2 linked regions of the Mus musculus genome follow. The protein of the gene in region 2 purifies or fractionates together with the protein of the main gene of each other region. This does not show direct contact. Links are inferred from orthologs where the notes say so. Each region holds a gene or a part of one and is shown on either strand. Other genes may lie near its edges.

Region 1 (3,815 bases), on a different chromosome or scaffold from region 2:
CATTTAGTAGCAAGCATTTAAAAGATTTAGTAGCAAGCATTTAAAAGATTTTTAGCTCGTCAGTGATGGCACATGCATTTAATCTCAGCACTGGAAAGACAGAAACAGGCAGATGTCTGAGTTTGAGGATAGCCTGGTCTATATAGAGTTTCAGGACTACACATAGAAACCTTGTCTCAAAAAAGTTTTTATTCAGGAAAGTTTATGCTATGCTTTACACACACACACACACACACACACACTATTAATTGGGATGTATTTAGGCTAATGTGGTTTTCTTAAACGCCTAGTTGTTTAAAATGCTTTGCTGGGAAGTCCTTCAAAGGACTTTTCTAAGAGAAAATAATATTGTCTAATGTGTGGGCTTATCCATAATTAGGTGCTGCTAAGTATGCCAAACACTGAAGGATGTAGTTAGTATTGACATACTCTGAATTTGAAAGGTGAGGCTTCTAAAATATGCATAAAGCCTGGGGAAAGATAGGACTTTTTCAGTTGGTTTTACTTGTTTTTGTGTAAGAGCACACACATACCACGTTGTGGATTTTTGTTAAGAAGCTAGAAACGAACTACCTTAGATTAAGTCATTTGATTTTTGTAATTTGTTTACATGCAGTAAAAAACATCAAAATACTTGCTATACTTTTTTTGTTGATGTATTTTATATTTCATTTAGACATTTTTGCAAGAAGGAATGCCTACTTCTGCACGATGTGATGATTTAGAAGCTTTGAAAAAGAAGGGTTGCCAGCCAAGTGACATAGAGAATCCCAGAGGCTCTCAAACTATAAAGAAAAATAAAAATGTCACCAATCGCAGCAAAGGGATGGCAGAGAAGCTCCGGCCAGAAGACATTACTCAGATCCAACCACAACAGCTGCTTCTAAAATTGAGATCAGGTACCTCTATCCCTACCTGAGTTTTCCATAGCAAGTTTATACAAGCCTTTTCCCAGTCTTTTGATGGTTCATTTGGGTGAACTGGTACCCCAAATAGGGCATAAGTTAAATTTTAGAGGACATAACCTCTTTTTGTTGCTTTTTGCTGTCCTGGAACTTGCTCGGTAGACCAGGTTGGCTTCAGTCTCAGAGATCTGCTTGTCTCCTCTTCCCAGATGCTGGGATTAAAGGTGTATGCCACACTTTTGATTCCTGGCCACAATTTTTGTAAGACATATTACTTTTAATAATTTAATGATAGAGATTAAAGTTAAGAGTGAAATGTTCTCTGTGTAAAGGCACTGCTACACAAAGGTGAGTAACGATCTAGTTTTACTTTAGAGTTGTAAAAGGAAGTTACAGAGGTGAAGTCATAATTACAAAAAGATCAAGGAAAAAAAGATGAAGCCTAAACTGAAAAATGAGGAAGGCGAGAGAGGTAAAAGTTGTTACATGTTATTTACTTAAAAAGCACAGAGCTGGAAGGCAGCTTAGTGGTAGAGCATCCATCTGTTAGTATAATTTCATAATATAAAAGCAAAGTTTTACTTATTTATTTAATGTATATGAGTACACTGTAGCTGACTTCAGACGTACCAGAAGAGGGCATTGGATCCCATTACAGATGGTTTGAGCCACCATGTGGTTGCTGGGAATTGAACTCTGGACCTCTGGAAGAGCAGTCAGTGAAAAGCTAAGTTTTAATCCATACATCGTTTAGTACCATTTAAATACTAACGATTTTATAAGTGCTCATGGCCATCCCACCTCTGAAATAGACAACATGCCCTCTTTCTGCCTGTCATCCTTCCATCCTGTTACTGCTGCCTGGCTAAACTTCAGCCTAGGAAATAGACATTGTTATAGTTTGAATGTGAAATGTCCCACTTAGGTTCCTGCATGCCGACTTTTGTTCTTGGCTTGTAGTGCTGTTTTGGGAGTCTGTGGAGCCTTCAGTTGCTGAGGCTTGACTGGCAGAGTGTGTGTCTCTGGGGGTGGGCTTTAGTTTCCTGAGTTGCCAAGACATAGAGTGCTGTTCCCTCTTGGTCCTGCTCTAACTTCTGTGACCTTCTTGAAACTGAGCCAAAAATAAATCTTCTTTCTCCTAAGTTGCAATGTCAGGAAAAGTACTTAGTACAGACTTCTTGTACATATACTGTAGTGGAATACTACTATCATTCTTTGACCTGCAGGATCCTGATCAGGACATTGATTATGTATTTGCCTAAGTCACATTTTATTTTAATCATCATTACTTAAAAACATTTTTTAGGTTTACTTATTTTTTATATGCACATTTTGCCTGTATGAATACATGCATATGTGCACCGTGTATGTACCTGGTGCCTGCAGAGGTCAGAAGTTATCAGATCCCTTGGAACTGAAGTATGGTTATGAGCTGACATATGTTAGGAGTTGAACCTGGGTCCTCGTAAAAGCAGCAAGTGCTCTTAACTTCTAAGTCATCTCTAGCCCCTCGTCGTTACTCCTACTGTGGGGAGCTTGTAAGAGGCTCTCTTCTTAAACTTAGGAGTCCATGTCACTGCTGGTTTTTCTCAGTTCCTTCCATTGCTTCCAATTTCCTTTTTGTGTTTTCTTCCTTTCATCCTTCTGCAAATTTAGGTAAGACTTGGTTTTCCTCTCATCATCATTGGAAATCATCATTCAGCAATGACATAAGCTTTTCCGTTTAGCTCTGTACCTGTTCTCCAGCTGCCTGCCAGGAAGTCAGGGAAAAAAGATCGTTTTTCATCTAAGCAGACCTTCCATTTTCTCCCATGTTTGTGTTTTATTTTGTGGTACTGGAGATAGAATTTAGGATCTCTCATGTGCTGGGCAAATGCTCTACCACTAAGCTGCCTTCCAGCTCTGTGCTTTTTAAGTAAGTAACATGTAACAACTTTTACCTCTCTCGCCTTCCTCATTTTTCAGTTTAGGCTTCATCTTTTTTTCTTGATCTTTTTGTAATTATGGCTTCACCTCTGTAACTTCCTTTTACAACTCTAAAGTAAAACTAGATCGTTACTCACCTTTGTGTAGCAGTGCCTTTACACAGAGAACATTTCACTCTTAACTTTAATCTCTACCTGTCTAGAATGTACCTTTCATTCTGCCAAAACTCATGGTGTTCTGATTTTCTCATAAGTTTTTGTGTAAATCACCTTGTGGTTACAGTAACAACTACTTGAAATACATGTAAAAAGAAAAGCTTATTTTGGGCCATAGTTTTAGAAGTTTTCATCTGACGGAGTGGCCTGTTGCTCTGAGCTTGTGGTGATGTGAGATGTCATGGTGGGGCATCTGGGAGATAAGACAGAAAGGAGGTCCCATAGACTCCAGGGCACATCACTGGTAACCCAAACCTCCTGCTAGTCCTTACCTCTCAAACTTCCCACTGCCTCCTGAAAGTACCAACACATGGGCAGATCCAAACTGTAGCAGAATTATTTGTATTTTGTGGGTTGCTGGAGAGGGCATTGCCTTCATCATTTTTGCCTCCTTAGGTCTTGGAGTTGTAAATGGTTGGTTAAACGAAATCAAGTGTGCCTGTTGAGGCGCTAACAAAATTCTTAGATTTGGAAAAAATATACACTTAAGACTATATCATTGAACATGTAAATTGGACTTACTTTTTTTCTCATTTTATTTTGATTACTGGCCATCTAATTTCAGTTTTGAATCTTGTTAATTAGGAGAACCACAGAAGTTTACATTAAAATTCAAGAGGGCTGAAGATTACCCTATTGATCTCTACTACCTTATGGATCTCTCCTACTCTATGAAAGATGATCTGGAGAATGTGAAAAGTCTTGGAACGGATTTGATGAATGAAATGAGGAGGATTACTTCAGACTTCCGCATTGGTAGGAATGTTGG
Region 2 (4,310 bases):
CTTCATGATACCCAGCTGTTCAACCAAGGACTCTTCATGGAGAGCCATACTGAGCACTGGCTATGCCTGGTTACCAAGGTCTTGGTGCTAGAGGTACAACGATGAGTATAGCAAAGACTCAGCAGAGCCCAAGACACCACACACTGCTGAGCTGGGGACTCATCCTAGTGTGGACTAAAACTGTGACCTCGGGTAGGTCATCAGAATTTCCCAATCTATCACGCCTCGGGTCCCTTACTAGTAGATGAGGAGACTTACCTTCCAGTCTACTTCTCATCTACTGCCCAAAGAACACAAGACAGCTGAAAGAGGTGGGCGGGCTGGTGCACAGGGGTGATATCAGCACTTGGGAGATTGGAAGGCTGCCTGGAACTTGAGGGCAGCCTGATCTACAGAGAGAATGATGCCTGGCTAGACAGGATAACAGATTTAAAAAAAAAAAAAAAACCTGAAAAATACCTTTGACCCAAGCAGTTCTAAAAACTAATTTAGAAAGCAATACCAGCAATCAGCCCGAGACACTGTTATAATCTTTTATTATGTATCAAATTGTCTTCAATATAACTTACAACCTGATTTTTATCTGATAGATACTTTTATCTATTTAAAGGCAAAAAAAATTCTCTTTATGTACAATATCTTATGTCTAGAGTCTGGCAAATATAGTACCTTTCATTGCAGGATTTTTGCTTAACATAACAAGCAAAAATAAACAACCAAAAAAAAAAATCAAAATAAATTGAACCCCCGGATCCCTCAACTACAAATGTCAATAATGAATAAAGCATTAAAAAGACAAACAGAATGACTGTTATTTAGAAATGCATAATGAATACTAATATTAGTGGCAAAAAAAACCCAAATGGCCCGGACAGTCTTCAGGGCCGTTGTTCCTGCTCGGGGTTGGGCAGACTCTAGACCATTTCTCGGCTCCTGCGGATGGCGCAGCACAGGATCATGCTGAAGATCATGCCGAAGATCTGTAAAGACAGGAAGGGGGCGTGGTCTGCCTGACCTGAGGGGAAGGACCATCACCCAGGCCAAGACAAATGCCCAAGGCAACAGCAAGGTCTAGGAAGGATACTGGTGTAGGAGATATGAAGGCCAGATAACAGGAAGGATGGCAGGGACTCGGATTCCGGCAGTCAGCTGCCGAGATATTTCCTTAGAGAATATTCAGGGTGAGACCCTAAAAATGCAGCTTTAAGTCTTAACTTCAGTGTTTCCAACACAGCATGCAAATTAGGACTCTCTCCATCCTCTTTTCTTTGCTGGGCTGGGACTGAAACCCAGGGCCTTGCCCATTCCAGCTAAGTGCCCTGCCTCTGAGCCACAGCCCAAGAGCTCCCACTTCCTAATAGTAAGAAAGAAATACTGACGGTATCCACCTGCCCAGGATAGCCAGGGTTGCTTCTGACGCTACAGCACTTCTAACAGTGCCCAGGCATGGCTTTCTTCCCCGGACTACCCGGCACTTACCATCACCACGGCGATGCCGATACCCACTGCTCCAATGATGTGGAACTTGTTGTTGAAGACCTCACTGATGGCTTCAGGGCAGGGCTTAGGGAGGCAAACGAGACACACAGTAAGCAACAGTTCTCACGTTAGCTGTGCACCTCTTCTTTGGTGATTTGCTGATTCCTGTATCATTCTGGGAGGCCTCACGGCCAGAGGGGGAACTGAGAGATATAGGGGGTACCCTAAACTTGAGAACAGAGAAGCGGGAGGTTTCAGGTCTCTCTTTTTCTTTCTATATACTTTTACACTGAGTGTTGTCTGCATGTGTGTATGAGCACATCTGTGCCTGGTGTCTGTGGAGCTCAGAAGAGGGCATTCGATCCCCTGGGACTGCAGTTACAGGTGATTCGCAGATGCGATGCTGGGTCCTCTGGAAGAGCAAGGGCTCTCACCACCGAGTCAACTTGTGATAGCAGCCCCACAACCACCCTTTTTTTCTCTTTTTGGCAGTTCTGGGGCTGGAACCTGGTGCCTCATCCACCAGGCAAGCATTCTGCCACTCAAAGAGGCCCCTCTGGGTCCAGTCCCATGTGGCTGTAGAGAGTCACTTTATAATTCTCCTTCTGGATGAAGGAGAACGGACTGACCGGGAACTGTTTCTAAAGCCGTAGGAGCAGACATACCCTCCACGGGATTGGGATCTGCTTGCTCTTTAAGGCTTGGGACTTGGGCAGTGTGCACGGCCCCAGGTGTCTGTAGCTGCAGGAGCTAGGGGATTTTGTTCTGTCTCTGATCTGGCCTTTGTTTCTCACCGCCTGGGAAGAATGTTGCTAAATTCACCCAAGCCCTTGCAGGGATTTGTCTAAGCGGCAGGGCAGCATGCCAGAGGGTTGCTTCTCAGTTTACCTTAACCTGGAAACTTTCCAAAAGCTGTTTCTTGGGGCAGGTGTCCGAGATAAACTGCTCCAAAGGACCAGCTATGCCACAGCAGTCCAACTTTAGAGAGAAGGCAGGGATGAGGATGAGAAAAACAAAGAGATAGTTAAAAGAGGTATGATCGCGGATACCCCGCGGGGATGTACTGGAGGGGCGAGTGATTTCTGTACAGAGGTGACCTACCGCCATATGGATGGCTTTGAGTGTTTCCCGCTGGGGTTCATCCTTGCTCCGTAACTTTTGGTAGGTGTCCTTGTAAAACTCCTGGAGTTCTTTAATCACCTATGAGGGACAGACAAATCAGGAGCAGAGATGGGTTTCTCAAAAACTGCTTCACGGATACCCTTCAAGCGCTTGGCTAACTGCCACCAGTACCATCTGTCTCACCACTGTTCCTGCTTCGACCTCCAAAGTGCCCAGGTTACAGGAGTCTGCCATCTTGCCTGGCTAAGTTTCTTTTGAGGTGATGGAGTGACACTGGGAATCCCCAGCCTCTATCCCTTCGTAAATTCTCTTATCAGTTGGGTAGTTTTTTGAAAATGTAGATCCCACATCAATTCCTTTCCTTCTTCTCCCACTGAAGAATATAAGCGGCCCTGCTTTTTTTTTTTTTTTTTAAAGATTTATTTATTATATGTAAGTACACTGTAGCTGTCTTCAGACACACCAGAAGAGGGCGTCAGATCTCATTACAGATGGTTGTGAGCCACCATGTGGTTGCTGGGATTTGAACTCAGGATCTTTGGAAGAGCAATCAGTGTTCTTAACCACTGAGCCATCTCTCCAGCCCCCCTGCTTTTTTAAATGTTGCACTGTGTTCCAGCCTGGCCTACAACTCCTTAAAGAGTTCACCAGAGAAACTCAAACTCACATGGTCAGCACCCTTCCTTGGCCCAGAAGTTCCCCACTCCTGCCCCCCTCTCCCCCTCCAGACGCCCTATCTCATTCAAGGTCTAGATCCACACTTACTTCCTTATAAACTGGAAGAGACGCTCTGGCCCACCCTCACCTTCTTTAAATCTCAACGTATTTTTGGTTATAAATGACTTGTGTGACATTTGTCTAACATCCTTCTTCCACACTAGATGGCAAAGTTCCTCAAAGTGTGAGACCCGGAACCTGGATACTTGGGGATGGACCTTGCATAGTGTCTGGTGTGGTACTTGTATGTATTTACAGATTAGAGAAAGCGAGTCTTTGCTGATTACAGAAAGCCATGTTGTTCTGAGCAACCTTTCTAGGAGCAGTGGGGAAGGGCTGTCTAGCTGTGATTGTCAGGCCCACAGACAGGCACACACACAAACGGTTTCCAAAAACGTTCTGAATGGTAACTATGGTGCTAGCCACACAGGGCAGGCTAAGCTCCACGTTCCCACTCCCAAGGACTGTTTGTCTTGCTTTTACATGGAAACATACTGGATAAGGAGGTGTGATCAGTGGAAAACCCAGCAAGTGACTAGCCTGGACCCTTTGTTCTCCGTCTTCCCAGCTCAGAAACTCAAATCACTGTAGGACCCAAGTGTACTTATGGAAACACCTACCTCATCCTTGTGGGTATAGCCCCAGACGGCGGCGGCTATCTCAATGGCGAATATCACCAAGAGGAACCCGAAGAACTAGAAGACACAAAGGACGTGGTGAGAGAGACTCCAGCAAGCCAGTCAGCAATACCAAAGGCTTGCAGAACAGTTAGCGTGCGGGTGGCACAGATGGACAGGCAGGAAGAGGTTAAGCAAAAAGCAGAGAAGCCATGAATTCTGGGGGGAAAATGTGATCTGCTGCCCCTACACTGGTACTTGGGGATGTTAGTTTAGAGTCGGGCAGCAATAAACCACCACTGCCCACACACAAATACCACCGAGATCGGGGAAACAAAGGCAGCGCATTCACTCCGTGGCGTCTGGGCAAGACGG

Evidence for each region.
Region 1: the proteins of Cd9 (region 2) and Itgb1 purify together in Homo sapiens (co-immunoprecipitation; 5 studies listed by BioGRID and IntAct, with this or other methods). This does not show direct contact. The link is inferred for Mus musculus from reciprocal best matches to the Homo sapiens genes CD9 and ITGB1.

Annotation. Positions count from the first base shown.
Region 1 is NC_000074.6:128,709,577-128,713,391, forward strand, and holds part of Itgb1 (integrin beta-1 precursor), read left to right. Parts: intron 1-676; coding exon 677-899; intron 900-3,631; coding exon 3,632-3,802; intron 3,803-3,815.
Region 2 is NC_000072.6:125,459,747-125,464,056, forward strand, and holds the end of Cd9 (CD9 antigen), read right to left. Parts: intron 4,014-4,310; coding exon 3,939-4,013; intron 2,680-3,938; coding exon 2,581-2,679; intron 2,458-2,580; coding exon 2,368-2,457; intron 1,564-2,367; coding exon 1,480-1,563; intron 981-1,479; coding exon 915-980; 3' UTR 520-914; downstream 1-519. UniProt on the Homo sapiens protein: Integral membrane protein associated with integrins, which regulates different processes, such as sperm-egg fusion, platelet activation and aggregation, and cell adhesion.